Linked DNA regions of Macaca mulatta. The protein of the gene in region 1 binds, or shares a complex with, the protein of each later gene. Links are inferred from orthologs where the notes say so. Each region holds a gene or a part of one and is shown in the gene's direction. Other genes may lie near its edges.

What was found.
Region 2: the proteins of AURKA (region 1) and TPX2 are in contact, whole or in part, in a crystal structure (PDB 3HA6), measured with the Homo sapiens proteins. The link is inferred for Macaca mulatta from reciprocal best matches to the Homo sapiens genes AURKA and TPX2. Residues at the interface, in NP_001310232.1 of Homo sapiens: Lys125, Arg126, Gln127, Trp128, Asp132, Glu152, Gln154, Ser155, Phe157, Leu159, Lys166, Glu170, Gly173, Glu175, Leu178, Arg179, Val182, Glu183, Ile184, Ser186, His187, Leu188, Arg189, Tyr197, Gly198, Tyr199, His201, Val206, Tyr246, Ser249; in NP_036244.2 of Homo sapiens: Gln3, Lys5, Ser6, Ser7, Tyr8, Ser9, Tyr10, Asp11, Ala12, Pro13, Ser14, Asp15, Phe16, Ile17, Phe19, Ser20, Ile31, Asp32, Trp34, Phe35, Glu36, Lys38, Ala39.

What each region holds. Positions count from the first base shown.
Region 1 is NC_133415.1:109,157,107-109,164,476, reverse strand, and holds the start of AURKA (aurora kinase A), read left to right. Parts: upstream 1-2,413; 5' UTR 2,414-2,628; exon of another isoform or gene 2,629-3,004; intron 3,005-6,576; 5' UTR 6,577-6,581; coding exon 6,582-6,623; intron 6,624-7,370. UniProt on the Homo sapiens protein: Mitotic serine/threonine kinase that contributes to the regulation of cell cycle progression.
Region 2 is NC_133415.1:84,561,572-84,569,107, forward strand, and holds the start of TPX2 (targeting protein for Xklp2), read left to right. Parts: upstream 1-3,466; 5' UTR 3,467-3,895; exon of another isoform or gene 3,896-4,169; intron 4,170-4,200; exon of another isoform or gene 4,201-4,316; intron 4,317-6,769; 5' UTR 6,770-6,876; intron 6,877-7,536. UniProt on the Homo sapiens protein: Spindle assembly factor required for normal assembly of mitotic spindles. Required for normal assembly of microtubules during apoptosis. Required for chromatin and/or kinetochore dependent microtubule nucleation.

The sequences.
Region 1 (7,370 bases):
AAAAGAACTCCAACTGTTGAACATGATAATCTGCTTACTAAAAATCAATGCCTTTATGTATGTGTATGTTTGAACCAATATTAAAAGGCTACAGGTGTCTGGGGACAGCAATAAAGAATAAAAGCGACCTCAGAGCCTGATTTCTTTTTTCTTTTTTTTCTTTTTGAGATGGAGTCTCGTTCTGTCGCCCAGGCTGCAGGGCAGTGGCCCAGTCTCGGCTCACTGCAACCTCTGCCTCCCAGGTTCAAGCTATTCTCCTGCCTCAGCCTCCCAAGTAGCTGGGACTACAGGCACGTGCCACCACGCCTGGCTAATTTTCGTATTTTTAGTAGAGACGGGGTTTCACAATATTGGCCAGGCTGGTCTTGAACTCCTGACCTTGTGATCTGCCTGCCTCAGCCTCCCAAAGTGCTGGAATTATGGGCATGAGCCACTGCGCCTGGCCCAGAGTCTATTTCTTATACACTGTACGACACTGATGGTGTTAATAATAACCAACAACATTAAGCACTTCCTGCATGCCAGATACCGTCATGCTAAGTACTTTGTAAGCATCAGTTCACTGAATAAAATCATTCAATGTATTCAAGTATATGAAGTAGTACATGAACATAATAAGTCTATGCTTGAGTAGAAAATCCTGGGACACAATAAAGATGATGAAATGGGTTCAAGGAGGTCAGAACACCTACTCAAGGTAAAAAGTGGCTGAGTTACTTATCCAAGGTTAAAAGCACACCAGAATTGCCAACTCCAGAGCCCTGAGCTTAACCACTGAAGGAGTTCAGGAAATGCCAGCCCAAAGCAAGATGCTTTGGCGGGCTGATTACTTTGAACTGAGGGCACTTGGAGAACAGCAGGCGGGAAGAGGCTTTCCCTGTGCTTTCCTTACCTGCCTAAAGTCTGACCCTCCAAAAATACCTCAATTGTCCTTATTAACCAGGGAAGATTCACTTAGATCATAGGAACCAGGGAAGATTAACTCGGATCACGAGAGGAGATTAGAGGTTGACACCACCCAGAGGATCACCTATTCTGTCTGCATTAACAAACTTGATTCACCATACATTTCCTCCGTTCACCCTCCCATAACTTGTGTTACAGCTGCTGCTTACCATCCTCCCACCCGCCCCCAACCCTCTATTCATTCCTTTCAGTAGCTCAGGATGCCATGTAAGCCTTAATCATCTGACTTCAACTTCTTAGTCTCGTATTTTGTGGGACTCCTGTACATAATTAAATATCGTTTTTCTCCTATGGACAATGTTTAGTGACCCGAAAAAAATGGGAGATTCTTAAGTACCAACAAAGAATGAAAATCACAAGTGGGTAGTCTGGCAAAGAAAAGTTGATGAGAGATTCTACTGTTAATGTCGTGCTAATATGACTTGAATAATTTCCGTATGCCAGTTCAATGCTTTACATGCACATCCTGTTTATCCTGCAGTAATCTGTTAATTTGTCTTATGGTAATTTAACTCTTAGTCTTAATAAGGTACCTAGAAGGATGGAGGGAAGCCATTTTTGGCTCCCCTACACCACTATTCTATCCGGTCTCTTCACTTCTGAGCACATGTCGGGTGTACAAATATATATATACACACACACATTTGTGTGTATATATGTATACATGTATGTGTGTATATATATATATGTGTATATATATATTTTATGGTGGCCCAGTCCTAACTTCTCAACTCCCACAGAACGTTCACTCGCCAGGTAAACAGAAGCCTAATTATCCCCAATTTGCAGGTGAGCACACGGAGACACGAGGACAAGAACCCGATCCAGGACCGGTTACATCGCAGTTGGAAAGGCTAGAACACAGACGCCCCCTCACTATATGCGCCGCGACCATCTGGATGCAGAGGCGAACTAAGGACTGGGTGGGAATGGAAGCGAGGCCCTTTGAGGAAGAGGAGGGGGTGCAGGCCAAGCCGGGCAACTTAGGAAGCACAAAGTAGAGGCGCATGCCATCTTGCTAACTCTGGACTCTTCCGGTCTCGCCCCAGTTGTTTCTGTGGTTTTCGCTAAACGCCCCAGCCGACCGCACCAGCCACTCTCCCCGTGCCCCAGTACCAGCTGGTCCGGTTCTCTCGGTATCCCGCTCTCTCCTGGAAAAATGGAGGCGCGAATCCTGCCCAATCGACCGCTCCGAGCGCACATTCACTGCGCACGCTGAAAGGGCGCCAAGCCGACCGCTGCGCTATCGATCGGTCGCACTCTCGCTTGCTTTTCTCGCCATCTTACTTACTGGCACGTTCAAAAGGTTAGTTCACCCCCTCGGACTTTATCTCCAATGCGACAAGCTTGACGTCAAGGGGCTGCTGCCTCACCGATAAATGGCCGACCCCGGAGAGTACCCTGGGGCTGGCACTGCCACGGGTCTGGCTGGCCGTTGGCTCCGCCACTTCCGGGGTCTCAAGGAGCAAGTGCGCCTGCGCGCGGTGTGCGCCTTAAACGCGACTCAAGGCGTCGGGTTTGTTGTCAACCAATCACAAGGCAGCCTCGCTCGAGTGCAGGCCAATCGGCTTTCTGGCTAGAGGGTTTAACTCCTATTTAAAAAGAAGAACCTTTGAATTCTAACGGCTGAGCTCTTGGAAGACTCGGGTCTTTGGGTCGCAGGTGGGAGCCGACGGGTGGGTAGACCGTGGGGGATATCTCAGTGGCGACGAGGGCGGCGGGGACAAGGGGCGGCCGGCCGGAGTGGCGGAGCGTCAAGTCCCCTCTCGGTTCCTCCGTCCCTGGGTGTCCTTGGCGCTACCCTGTGCCCGCCCAGTGCCTTTGCATCCGCTCTTGGGCACCGAGGCGCCCTGTAAGACACTGCTTGTTACTTATTACAGCTAGAGGTAGAAGGGGTTTGTTGAGTGGTGTTGACACGCGCGGGAGGGGTGGGTGAGCGTCAGATTGGATTTTGTTCTCGGAGATCACCTGGGTAAGAAAAGCACAGAAGGTCGCTGCTGTGTTGGAGTTCACGTTCTAGTGGGTAGGGAGTCAGACGGTAAGCGTACAGAGAACTTGCAACTGGGGTGGGTGTTATAAGGGAAAAGCAGGAGTGCGGTTTAACGGGGGCCGCTTTAGACAGAATAGCCTAGGAAGGCCCTTGTCCTGGCTGGATGAGTGGGTGAATTGATGAATGAGAACCTCCTTGCAGAGGCCTTCCCGGTCCGTACTTCTCAGACCGTAGACCTTGAAGTAGTTATATCGGGATAACTTGGAGAGCCTTGTTAAAAATATAGCTCCACCGAGAGCCCGGAAAATCAGAATCTCTGAGGGATAGGACCCAGGTGTCTAGTTATTAGCAAACTCTCCAGATGATTCTTTGATTTCATTGAGAACTAGGGATGCAGACCGGTGCATGCAAATCGTCTGGGGATGTTAAAATGCAGAATCTGTTTTCCTAGACCTGGGGTTGGGCCTCAGAGTCTCCATTTCTAAGATCCCTCCGGCTGAGGTAGACGTAGCCACTGTCGTTAACTCGTAATGTCTCTTCCTCTTCCTTAACCTTCCTTGTCCCTTGAATTAAACGTTTTTCAGCAACCTACTCAATTCGTCCTTCCCTTCATCTCTGCAGACATGCACAGGTCTGAAGGAGGAAGGAACAAACCCGTATAAACCTCCTGTGCTATTAGCCTAACAGCTTTTCTATTCACAGTGGTAGGATTTCTGGTGTGAACTGAATAGATCCTGTGAAAGTCATCTGGTTGCAGATTAGAGTCACCTGAAGGGCAGTCTTATTGGCGTTGTCTCCAGAATTCTGGATTAGAATCTTATTCCATTCTGCTTGTTACTCAATTTCCCTAGAAAGAAAAGTAGAATAAATTGGAGCAAATGCCTGTAGCTTCTGTCAGAAGAATGTTAAATAAATGTTGTTAGGCCTCTGTGATCTCATTAGACTGCTACTTGTAATTGTAAGGGAAGTAAAGCATTAGAGCATGTGTGAAATTAAATGATTACACAAGTGGGCATTTCCTTGCTGCTGTTTATTAACTTTTTAACTTACCCACTGTTTTTTCATAAGGGCTCCCGCCTGTAGTCTGGGCCTAGCTTCATCATGGAGTTATTTGCTTAATTGTAAAATGGCAATTTTAATTTTTTTTTGAGACAGGGTCTCACTCCGTTGCCCAGGCTGGAGTGTGGGGACATTTGATAAGAAACTTCAGTGAAGGCTGCGCATGGTGGCTCATGCCTGTAATCCCAGCATTTTGGGAGTCCGAGACGGGTGGATCACCTGAGGTGGGGAGTTCCAGACCAGCCCAACCAACATGGAGAAACCCCGTCTCTACTAAAAATACAAAATTAGCTGGGCGTGGTGGCATATGCCCGTAATCCCAGCTACTCCGGAGGCTGAGGCAGGAGAATTGCTTGAACCCGGGAGGTGGAGGTTGTGGGTGAGCCGAGATTGTGCCACTGCACTCCAGCCTGGGCAACAAGAGCAAAACTCCATCTCAAAAAAAAGAGAAACCTCTGTGAAATGAAAGACTGAACTACACACCTGGGGGAAAAGCCTAATAAAGGGAGCAAGAAGTGCAAATGCCTATGGCAGGGGACTTGTTTGAGGAAAGAAAGAAGCCTTGTGTGGCTGGTGCACAATCGAGAAGAAGAGATGAAGTCAGAGAGGCAGTTAGGGTCCATGTTCTGTGAGACTTCAATAGGCCTGTCTATGCAGGTTAGGAGTTTGCATTGTTTTGATTGAGTTGGGGAGCCATGGGGGTCTTCTGAACCAAGGACCAACACATCTGACTTGTTAATGAGATTGTTGGCCTCAGTGTTGAGAATGGACCATAACGGGGTAAGGTTGGAAGTCGGGAGGCCATTGGGAGGCCGTTGCAAAAAATTCAAAGGAGAATTACGGTTTGACCAGGTGGTAGTAGTAGAGGTTCTGAGCAGTGATCTTGAAGGCAGAGCCTACAGAATATGCTCGTGGATTAGATGAGGGGTTTGAGAGAGAGAGAAACCTCTTAAAGGGTTATTATGCCAAGGCTTTTGGCCTGAGCAACTGGCAGGATGGATTTGCCATCAACTGGGATGAGGATATCTAGAGACTAGATTTGGGGAGGTGAGAGTGTGGAGGGATTAGGACTTCTGTTTGGGACATGTTAAAATGGAGATGCCTCTCAGATAATCAGGTGCAGATGTTGCGTAGAAAGTAGAAAATGTAGATCAGGAGTTCAGAGGAGAGGTCTGGGCTGAAGAATGAATATTTGGGAGTCCTCAGCCTGTAGATGGTATTGAAAGCAAAGAGACTGGATGTACTTGGCTAGGGAGTAATTGGAGATGGAGAAGTCGTTCTAGGCGTGAGCTCAGGGCACACCCATGAACAGGGAGGTGAGAAGTGGAGAAGGGAAGCGGTTCGGTTTTGGATATGTTAGGATTGAGGTGCCTGGCAGACATTTCTGGGAGATCCTGGACAAATCCTTGGATATCCAAGTCTGACAGTCCAAGGTGAGATTGGGGCAGAAGATGCACTTTGAGAGGTCCTCATGAAGGCATTTAGAGCTGAGGCACTCGGTGATATGGATTCCTGTGAAGGTGTAGATGGAGAAGTGGAGGGTCCAGGGACTCATTCTTTAGTCACCCCAGACCCTTGATCGGGCAACAATGAGAGTGACCCAGCAAGGAGGGAAAGATAGGATGACTAGGTGGTAGATAAACCTGGAAGTGAAGTGAAGAAAAAGGTGTAAGATGTGATCAACCTTGTCGGATTCTGCTGAGGATGCAAGTACGAGGAAGGTGGAATTGACCCTTGGGTTTGGCAACAGTAGGTGTCAGCCATGAGCCTGATGATGTGGTGGAGGCAAAAAAGCTGGGTGGGGATGGGCTCAGGGGAGGGGAGAGGAGGAGTAGAAGTGGCAAGTGTGGATGGTTCTTCTGGAGCTTTGCTGTTGGAGAGGAGGGGGTCATGGTTAGCAAAGATAATACAATAAAGAGGACTATTTTATTCTATTTTTTTTTTTTTTTGAGAAAAAGTCTCACTCTTGTCCCCCAGGCTGGAGTGCAATGGCATGATCTCAGCTCACTGCAACCTCCGCCTCCTGGGTTCAAGCGATTCTCCTGCCTCAGCCTCCCAAATAGCTGGGATTACAGGCGCCCGCCACCACACCCAGCTAATTTTTGTATTTTTAGCAGAGACGGGGTTTCACCATGTTGGCCAGGCTGGTCTCGAACTCCTGACCTCAGGTGATCCGCCCGCCTCGGCTTCCAAAAGTGCTGGGATTACAGGCGTGAGTCACCATGCCCGGCCTAAAGAGGACTTTTTTAAGGTAGCAGGTATGCCAGCAGGCTGCACAGGGATGGAAGTGATCCGTTAGAAGAGAGATGATGGAGCCGCAAGACCATCAGGAGTGAAGACTCCGTGTGAGAGAGGATGGGATGCAGTGCCCAAGGGGAGGTTGGCCTTGCGGGGAAAGCACATGTCTGGCCCTCCCTCATTAGCTTCATTTGGACAAAAAGTGTAAAATCCTGTGTGTTGTGGAGGCCTTTTGATCAGGGAACTGTAACGCTGCCTATCAAGCAGCAGCACTTTAAGCAGGTGGCTTTGTTCAAATTAAAGGTTCTTCTTTTTCTTTTCAGGCATCATGGACCGATCTAAAGAAAACTGCATTTCAGGGCCTGTTAAGGTAAATTGAATAATCTGTAATCTCATTCACATTTATAAACCCACATGGAGGTTGGTCTTGTTGGGAATTCTTTCCACCTTTACTTTGGATTATAAATTTAGATCCCTTACTGTGCCCCTGGATATAAATTAGTCACTTTTCTTGTGTTCGGTAACATTTTGCTGATTCTTAGAGTAGCTTTTTGGTTCTGCTTTGTCTTATAATTGGCTGCTTAAGTTTCTATATCCCTCTGTTGTATGCAAGATAATAGTAATAATGCATCCAGCAGGAGTCCAAAACTTTTAAAATTGGCCATAAATATAAAATAATTAGAAAAGGCTACCTTGAATTACTGTTTTTGATTCTCAGTTCCTATGATAACGGCTATTTAAAAAATTGCTCTACATTTAAAATGTTTCTTTATATTTGTCTTGGAATGCCTACTATGTTGTGGACAGTGTACTAATTTCAGGAGTAACTGACTTTGAATTTGGAAGTCTTAACACCCTGTCTTTGTAGAGCACTCATACCATTGAGCTGGGGATGGACTTTTAGGCTTTCATTTCTAGCACTTGCCCCTCACTTACAATGAGCTGTTGAAGCTGGAGGAAATCTCATCCCTCCTACCCCTTTTAGTTTGATTAGCTCAGGGTGTTAGAGTTAACTTAACTATTTAAGCTTGTAATACAGTACTTACAGGCGTATAAATAATACATTTCAAGGCTCACGCCTGTAATCCCAGCACTTTGGGATACCAAGGCAAGTGGA
Region 2 (7,536 bases), about 25 Mb from region 1:
TATTTTTGAGAGGGAGTTTCACTCTTATTGCCCAGGCTGGAGTGCAATGGCGCGATCCTGGCTCACCACAACCTCCACCTCCCCGGTTCAAGCGATTCTCCTGCCTCAGACTCCGGAGTAGCTGGGAATACAGGTGCCTGCCACCACGCCAGAATAATTTTCTATTTTTAGTAGAGATGGGGTTTCTCCATGTTGGTCAGGCTGGTCTTGAACTCCCGACCTTGGGTGATCTGGCCACCTTGACCTCCCAAAGTGCTGGGATTACAGGCATGAGTCACCGTGCCCAGCAAAAATATCTCTTTTTAGACAAGGTGCGGTGGCTCATGCCTGTAATCCCAGAACTTTGGGAGGCTGAGGTGGGAAGATCACTTGAATCTGGGAGGTTGGGGTTAGAGTGAGCTGTGATCCTGCCACTGCACTCCAGCCTGGGTGACAGCAAGACCCTATCTCAAAACAACAAAACAACCACCACAACAACAACCACTACTCCCCCATCCCCCCACTTTTTTTTTTTTTTTTTTTTTTTTGAGACGGAGTCTCGCTCTGTCGCCCAGGCTGGAGTGCAGTGGCCAGATCTCAGCTCACTGCAAGCTCCGCCTCCCGGGTTTATGCCATTCTCCTGCCTCAGCCTCCCGAGTAGCTGGGACTACAGGCGCCCGCCACCTCGCCCGGCTAGTTTTTTGTATTTTTTAGTAGAGACGGGGTTTCACCGGGTTAGCCAGGATGGTCTCGATCTCCTGACCTTGTGATCCACCTGTCTCGGCCTCCCAAAGTGCTGGGATTACAGGCTTGAGCCACCGCGCCCGGCCTTTTTTTTTTTTTTTTTTTTTGAGATAGAGTCTTGCTCTGTCGCCCAGGCTGGACTGCAATGGTGTGATCTCAGCTCACTGCAACCTCTGCCTCCCGGATTCAAGTGATTCTCCTGCCTCAGCCTTCCAAGTAGCTGGGATTACAGGCACCCGCCACCATGCCTGGCTAATTTTTTGTATTTTTAGTAGAGACAGGTTTTCACTATGTTGTCCAGGCTGGTCTCAAACTCCTGACCTCAAATCATCCACCTGCCTTGGCATCCCAAAGTGCTGGGATTACAGGTGTGAGCCACTGCATCAGGCAACCACCTCATTTTAACTGTGGAAAATTTCAAACTCATACAAGAGTATATGTATGTATTTATGTATCATGAACCCATCACCAGGTTCAACAATTATCATTTTGTAGCTAATCTTGTTTCATCTAAATCCCCACCTACTTATCTTCACTGCCTACTCCCAATTATTTGGAAGCAGGTGCCAGAGTAATTTCATCCCTACCATATCTCTATGTATCTCTACAACACAAGGACTCTTTTTTTTATTTTATTTATTTATTTTTTTTGAGACGGAGTCTCGCTGTGTCTCCCAGGCTGGAGTGCAGTGGCGTGATCTCGGCTCACTGCAAGCTCCGCCTCCCGGGTTCACGCCATTCTCCCGCCTCAGCCTCCCAAGTAGCTGAGACTACAGGCGCCCGCCACCACGCCCGGCTAGTTTTTTGTATTTTTAGTAGAGACGGGGTTTCACCATGTTAGCCAGGATAGTCTTGATCTCCTGACCTCGTGATCCACCCGCCTCGGCCTCCCAAAGTGCTGGGATTACAGGCTTGAGCCACCGCGCCAGGCCAGGACTCTTAAAAAAGAAAAGAAAAGGTGTGGTGGCTCATGCCTGTAGTCCCAGCATTTGGGAGGGTGAGGCAGGGGGATCACCCGAGGTCAAGAGTTCAAGACCAGCCTGGCCAACATGGTGAAACCCCGTCTCTACCAAAAAAATATTAAAAAATTAGCCAGGTGTGGTAGCGTGTGCCTGTAATCCTAGCTACTTGGGAGGTTGAGGCAGGAGAAACCGGGAGGCTGAGCTTAGAGTGAGCCGAGATCGAACCGTTGCACTCCAGCCTGGGCTACAATAATGAAACTCCGTCTCAAAAAACCAAACAAAACAAAACAAGACAAAACAACAACAACGAAAAGAAAACAAAACCAAACTCTTGGCAGTTTATGTTTTGAATAAACTAAATCATTTGTCCTGTGGTTTTCCTGTCTGGATTTTGCTGATTGCCCCCCGTGCGTGTTGAACCATACTTTAAAAATTACTATAATTTCATGTTAATATGTACAAAATCTGGTATGTCAATTTCCCCAATCTTTTTCAAAATTCAAGATGCTGGCCGGGCGCGGTGGCTCAAGCCTGTAATCCCAGCACTTTGGGAGGCCGAGACGGGCGGATCACGAGGTTGGGAGATCGAGACCATCCTGGCTAACACGGTGAAACCCCGTCTCTACTAAAAAAATACAAAAAACTAGCCGGGCGAGGTGGCGGGCGCCTGTAGTCCCAGCTACTCGGGAGGCTGAGGCAGGAGAATGGCGTGAACCCGGGAGGCGGAGCTTGCAGTGAGCTGAGATCCGGCCACTGCACTCCAGCCTGGGCGACAGAGCGAGACTCCGTCTAAAAAAAAAAAAAAAAAAAAAAAAAATTCAAGATGCCACTACTTGTGCTTTTGCTCTTCCATAGGAACTTTAGAATTAACTTGGCAAATTCCAGAACAGAACCCACTGGGACTTTCATTGGAATTGCCTCGACCTTTTTTTTTTTGTTTTGTTTTGAGAAGAGTCTTGCTCTGTCGCCCAGGCTGGGGTGCAGTGGTGCAATCTTGGCTCACTGCAACCTCCACCTCCCGGGTTCAAGTGATTCTCCTGCCTCAGCCTCCCAAGTAGCTGTGATTACAGGCCCGCGCCAGCACGCCCAGCTAATTTTTGTATTTTTAGTAGAGATGGGGGTTTCAACATTTTGGCCAGGCTGGTCTTGAACTCGTCGCCTCAAATGATCTGCGTATCTCGGCCTCCCAAAGTGCTGGGATTACATGCGTGAGCCACCGCGCCCAGCCTAGAGCTAAAGTTTTGAATCTTTAGCTTTTGCTGGTATTATGAAGGGGGTTGTTTTGTTGTGCTTGTTGCTTCTATTTTCTAATTGATTAAAAAAAATTAAGATGGTGGGGGTGGTCTCGTTATGATATCTACGCTGTTCTGGAACTCTTGGTCTCATAGATCCTTCTGCTTTAGCCTCCTGAGTAGCTGGGATTACAGGTGAGGGCCACGAAGCCTGGCCTCTAATTAATTATCGGTGATGTATAAAAAGAACAGACCTTCTTCATTCGAATCCCGTCTTCTCCATCTATTATATGATTTTGGACATGTTTGTTCAACTTCTCCGAGCCTTTGTTTTCTTTTTACCACATGGGGATCATAAAGCCGGAATGCAGTTGGGAATAAAACCGGATAAAGCACCCAACGAACAAGATCAGGGCAGGGCCTGGGTAAAAGGTTTGAGAAGACACTTGCACGGTTGGGAAGGACGCTACGGGCGAGTCTATGTTGCTTGCAGGAGACTCCACGTTAAGACGAGTGAACTCCTCTGAACCTTCAAGGGATAATGCACAACCATAACAAGAATAATTTTTAAAAATAAAGTTTTATTCCCTGAAAGCCTGGGGATGTCCAGGATGCGCGCCATTCTGTGATCTAAGTCGACTTTCCACCTCTTCAGTTGGTACCACCTTTCCCAAAGAGTTTGGAGCAGAGCACTCCGGTCTTCGTAGTAATTTACTCCTAAGGGCTGGTCCAGTGGACTCACGCAGGCGCAGGAGACTACACTTCCCGGGAACTCCCGGCCTCGTTGTTCGCTGGTACCGCCTTCTGACTTCCGGTATTGCTGCTCTCTGTAGGGCCAATCGGGAGCCTGGAATTGCTTTCCTGGAGCTCTGATTGGTGCATTCGACTAGGCTGCCTGGGTTCAAAATTTCAACGATACTGAATGAGTCCCGCGGCGGGTTGGCTGGCGCTTCGTTGTCAGAACTGAGGAGAGGCTAGGTGAGCCGCGGGAAGAAAAGAGGGAGCAGCTGGGGCGCGGGTGTCCCTCCTCCCGGAGTTTGGAATGGCTGAAGTTCACCTTCCAGCTCCTAGCGCAGTTCGCGCGGGTAGGCCTGGCTTCTGAGGCGGTTGCGGTGCTCGGTCGCCGCCTAGGCGGGGCAGGGTGCGAGCGGGGGCTTCGGGCCACCCTTCTCTTGGCGACAGGATTTTGCTCTGAAGTCCGTCCGGGAAACTGGGGGGAAAAGGAGTTGCGGGAGGCTATCGTCTAATAAAGGTAACGATAATTATTATTACCATGCTAACAGGTTATAAACATTGACTGAACTAAGTACCCTGCGTGCCCGTTCTCATCTAATTTCCTGGCCAAGCCAATGTAGTTGGTGCTATTCTTGGTCCCTCTTGACGGAAACGGAGGAAGGAGGTAGGAGGAGGAAACTGTGGGCCAGAATCTAGATAAATTTCGAGAAATGGGTGATACAGTAGCCCTGCCCTCAGGAAGTGTGGCGTTTGATGGAGGAAAACAGAGGTAGTCACAAATAAGGACATTTCAAAACTGTTATCTAAAACAGAAAGATGATTAGATGGTGTGAGAACATAATTGAGGGAGAGTTTAAGTCCATTTGGAGTTGTCTTCTATTTGGGATTTAAAATTCATTATATGTTATCCATATTTGTCCAGCTCTCTCTTTTTGTATGGAATCACCAGATATTATTCCCTTTCTCATTTCCTTTCTCAACATTTATAGATTGGAGGGGGGAAGGAAAACCAAACCAGGTTATAATATTGTAGAATTGGTTTACCCCCTATTTTCTTGACATATAACGTCTTGTTTTCCACATATAATTTTCTGGTAGTTCAGTAACATGGACTTCCCCAAATCAGGCCTACTTAGGATAGAAAAGGATTTTTGACTCCTAGATTTTGCTTTAAGACCAGCTCTTGGTTTACTCCCTGGTTCACCCTTACCTTTTCTTGACATCCTATGGCCTCTCTTTGAATTTCTCTCACTCATCAAATGTTGTCAAAAATAGGACTATAAGGATGTTCTTGTATTGTGGCCTTAGTGTATTACACCACCCCCATGTCAGACTTAAGTCCGTCCCCCTGGTTGGATGGATGAGTCAGTTCAGTATTAAGCTGGCATTCTTGGATCAAAATTATGTGGCTCTCAGCTAACTCGGCCATTTAGTTGTCCTTTGAGGGTACTGCGTGCTCAGATTGGCATGAGATATGGGTATACAGATGTGTGATGAACTCAAAGGTTTTTTGGTGTGTTTGGGGACAAAAACATGGTTTGAAATTGGCAAGTGAGAATCAGAACAAGACAGGACACCATCTGAGTGCTCTACTGTTTTGTATTCTAAGTGTCCGGACAATTTAGAGGTGAGGGAGATCAAGAGCCAGTTTGTGTTTCTGTGCTTCACAAAGCCACCCTTGCCTAATTCTTGATAAGCAAGAGTTTGGTTAGACAGGGACTGAAACAATCCTGGTACATAGGAATCACCCACTAAATACCTGTTGAATTGACTAGGCAGGAAGGCACTATCTGAATTGACTACAAAATTGCGGGTATGAAAAACTGGATTGTACTCAACTAGGTTGGTAATTTTGTTTAGACTTTCAAATTAGCTGAATAGGGTTTATCTGGCTAACCTTATGCTTAAATCTGTGTATTTCAACCTTGATAAAATTAATTTATTGCAGTTAAGATTGTCCAGGATTATGTGAGAGAGTCCTTCATTTCTTGTTTAGGTACCAGATTTTCAGAGTTCGTCTACATCTGTTGGTTAATTTTCCTTCAGCTTTTTCTGGGTCTCTTCCCTAATTCTTTTTTTTTTTTTTTTTTTTTTTTTGAGACGGAGTCTCGCTGTGTGACCCAGGCTGGAGTGCAGTGGCACGATCTCGGCTCACTGCAAGCTCCGCCTCCCGGGTTTACGCCATTCTCCTGCCTCAGCCTCCCGAGTAGCTGGGACTACAGGCGCCCGCCACCACGCCCGGCTAGTTTTTTGTATTTTTTAGTAGAGACGGGGTTTCACCATGTTAGCCAGGATGGTCTCGATCTCCTGACTTCGTGATCCACCCGCCTCGGCCTCCCAAAGTACTGGGATTACAGGCTTGAGCCACCGCGCCCGGCCTATCTTCCCTAATTCTCTTTGAATTCCTGGGAGAAAGAGGAGGGAGAGTTAAATGCCCTTTGACATACTTAATTTTCTTTGCTATGAGTAAAGTTAGGAAGCAAAATTGACTATATATAGAGTTTTTTTTTTGAGATTTCAGCTCACTGCAACTTCTGCCTCCCCTGTTTAAGCAATTTTCCTACCTCAGCCTCTCGAATAGTTGGGATTATAGGGACCTGTCACCACACCTGGCTAATTTTTGTGTTTTGTTTTTTGTTTTTTTTTTTGAGATGGTGTCTCACTCTGTTGCCTAGGCTGGAGTGCGATGGTGTGGTCTTGGTTCACTGCAACCACTGTCTCCCAGGTTCAAGCAATTCTCCTGCCTCAGCCTCTCAAGTAGCTGGAACTACAGGCACGTGCCACCACACCCGGCTAATTTTTTTGTATGTTTAGTAGAGACGGGGTTTCACTGTGTTAGCCAGGATGGTCTTGATCTCCTGCCTGCCTTGGCCTCCCAAAGTGCTAGGATTACAGGCGTGAGCCACCGCGCCCAGCCTAATTTTTGTATTTTTAGTAGAGATGGGGTTTCACCATGTTGGCCAGGCTGGTCTTGAACCCCTGACCTAAAGTGATCCACCTGACTTGGCCTTCCAAAGTGCTGGGATTATAGGTGTGAGCCACTGCTCCCGGCCTGTTAACCCTTTTTTTACTACAGAGAACTTGGAACCTGTTTCATTACTTTTCTACTTCTTCCAGGTTCTTGATACATATTTGCCAGACTTCAAGATTTAAGAAAAGGGGTGAAAGAGAAGATTGCAACTTTCAGTCAGGCCTGTAGGCCTGATAGACTGATTAAACCACAGGTAAGGCAGTGACCATAGGAAGAAGGAACATTAATATATCAACTTCATAAGTGTTTAAATGACTTTAATTTTATAAAGTAACACATATTTTGGAAGGAAATTTATTTATTACGAAAAGCAAAAAGAAAATAAAATCACCCACTATCCCACCTCTCAGATAAACCGTGGTTAGCATTTTGATAGATTTCTTTATAATTTTTTTCTGTGTCTGTATAGTCATCCCTTGATATCCATGGGGAATTGGTTCTAGGACCTTCCCAGGATATCAAAATTCTCATACGCGGCTGGGTATGGTGGCTCATGCCTGTAATCCCAACACTTTGGGAGGCTGAGGCGGGCGGATCACCTGAGGTCAAGAGTTTGAGACTGGTTGGCCACATGGCAAAATCCTATCTCTACTAAAAATACAAAAATTAGCTGGGTGTGGTGGTGCGCGCCTGTAATCTCACCTACTTGGGAGACTGAGGCAGGAGAATCCCCTGAACCTGGGAGGCAGAGGCTGCAGTGAGCCAAGATCTCGTCACTGCACCCCAGCCTGGGCAACAGAGCAAGACTCTTGTCTCAAAACAAACAAAACAAAATTGTCAGATGCTCAAGCCCTGGTACAAAATGATGTGTAGTATTTGCATATAGCTTATGTACATACTCCCATATACTTTA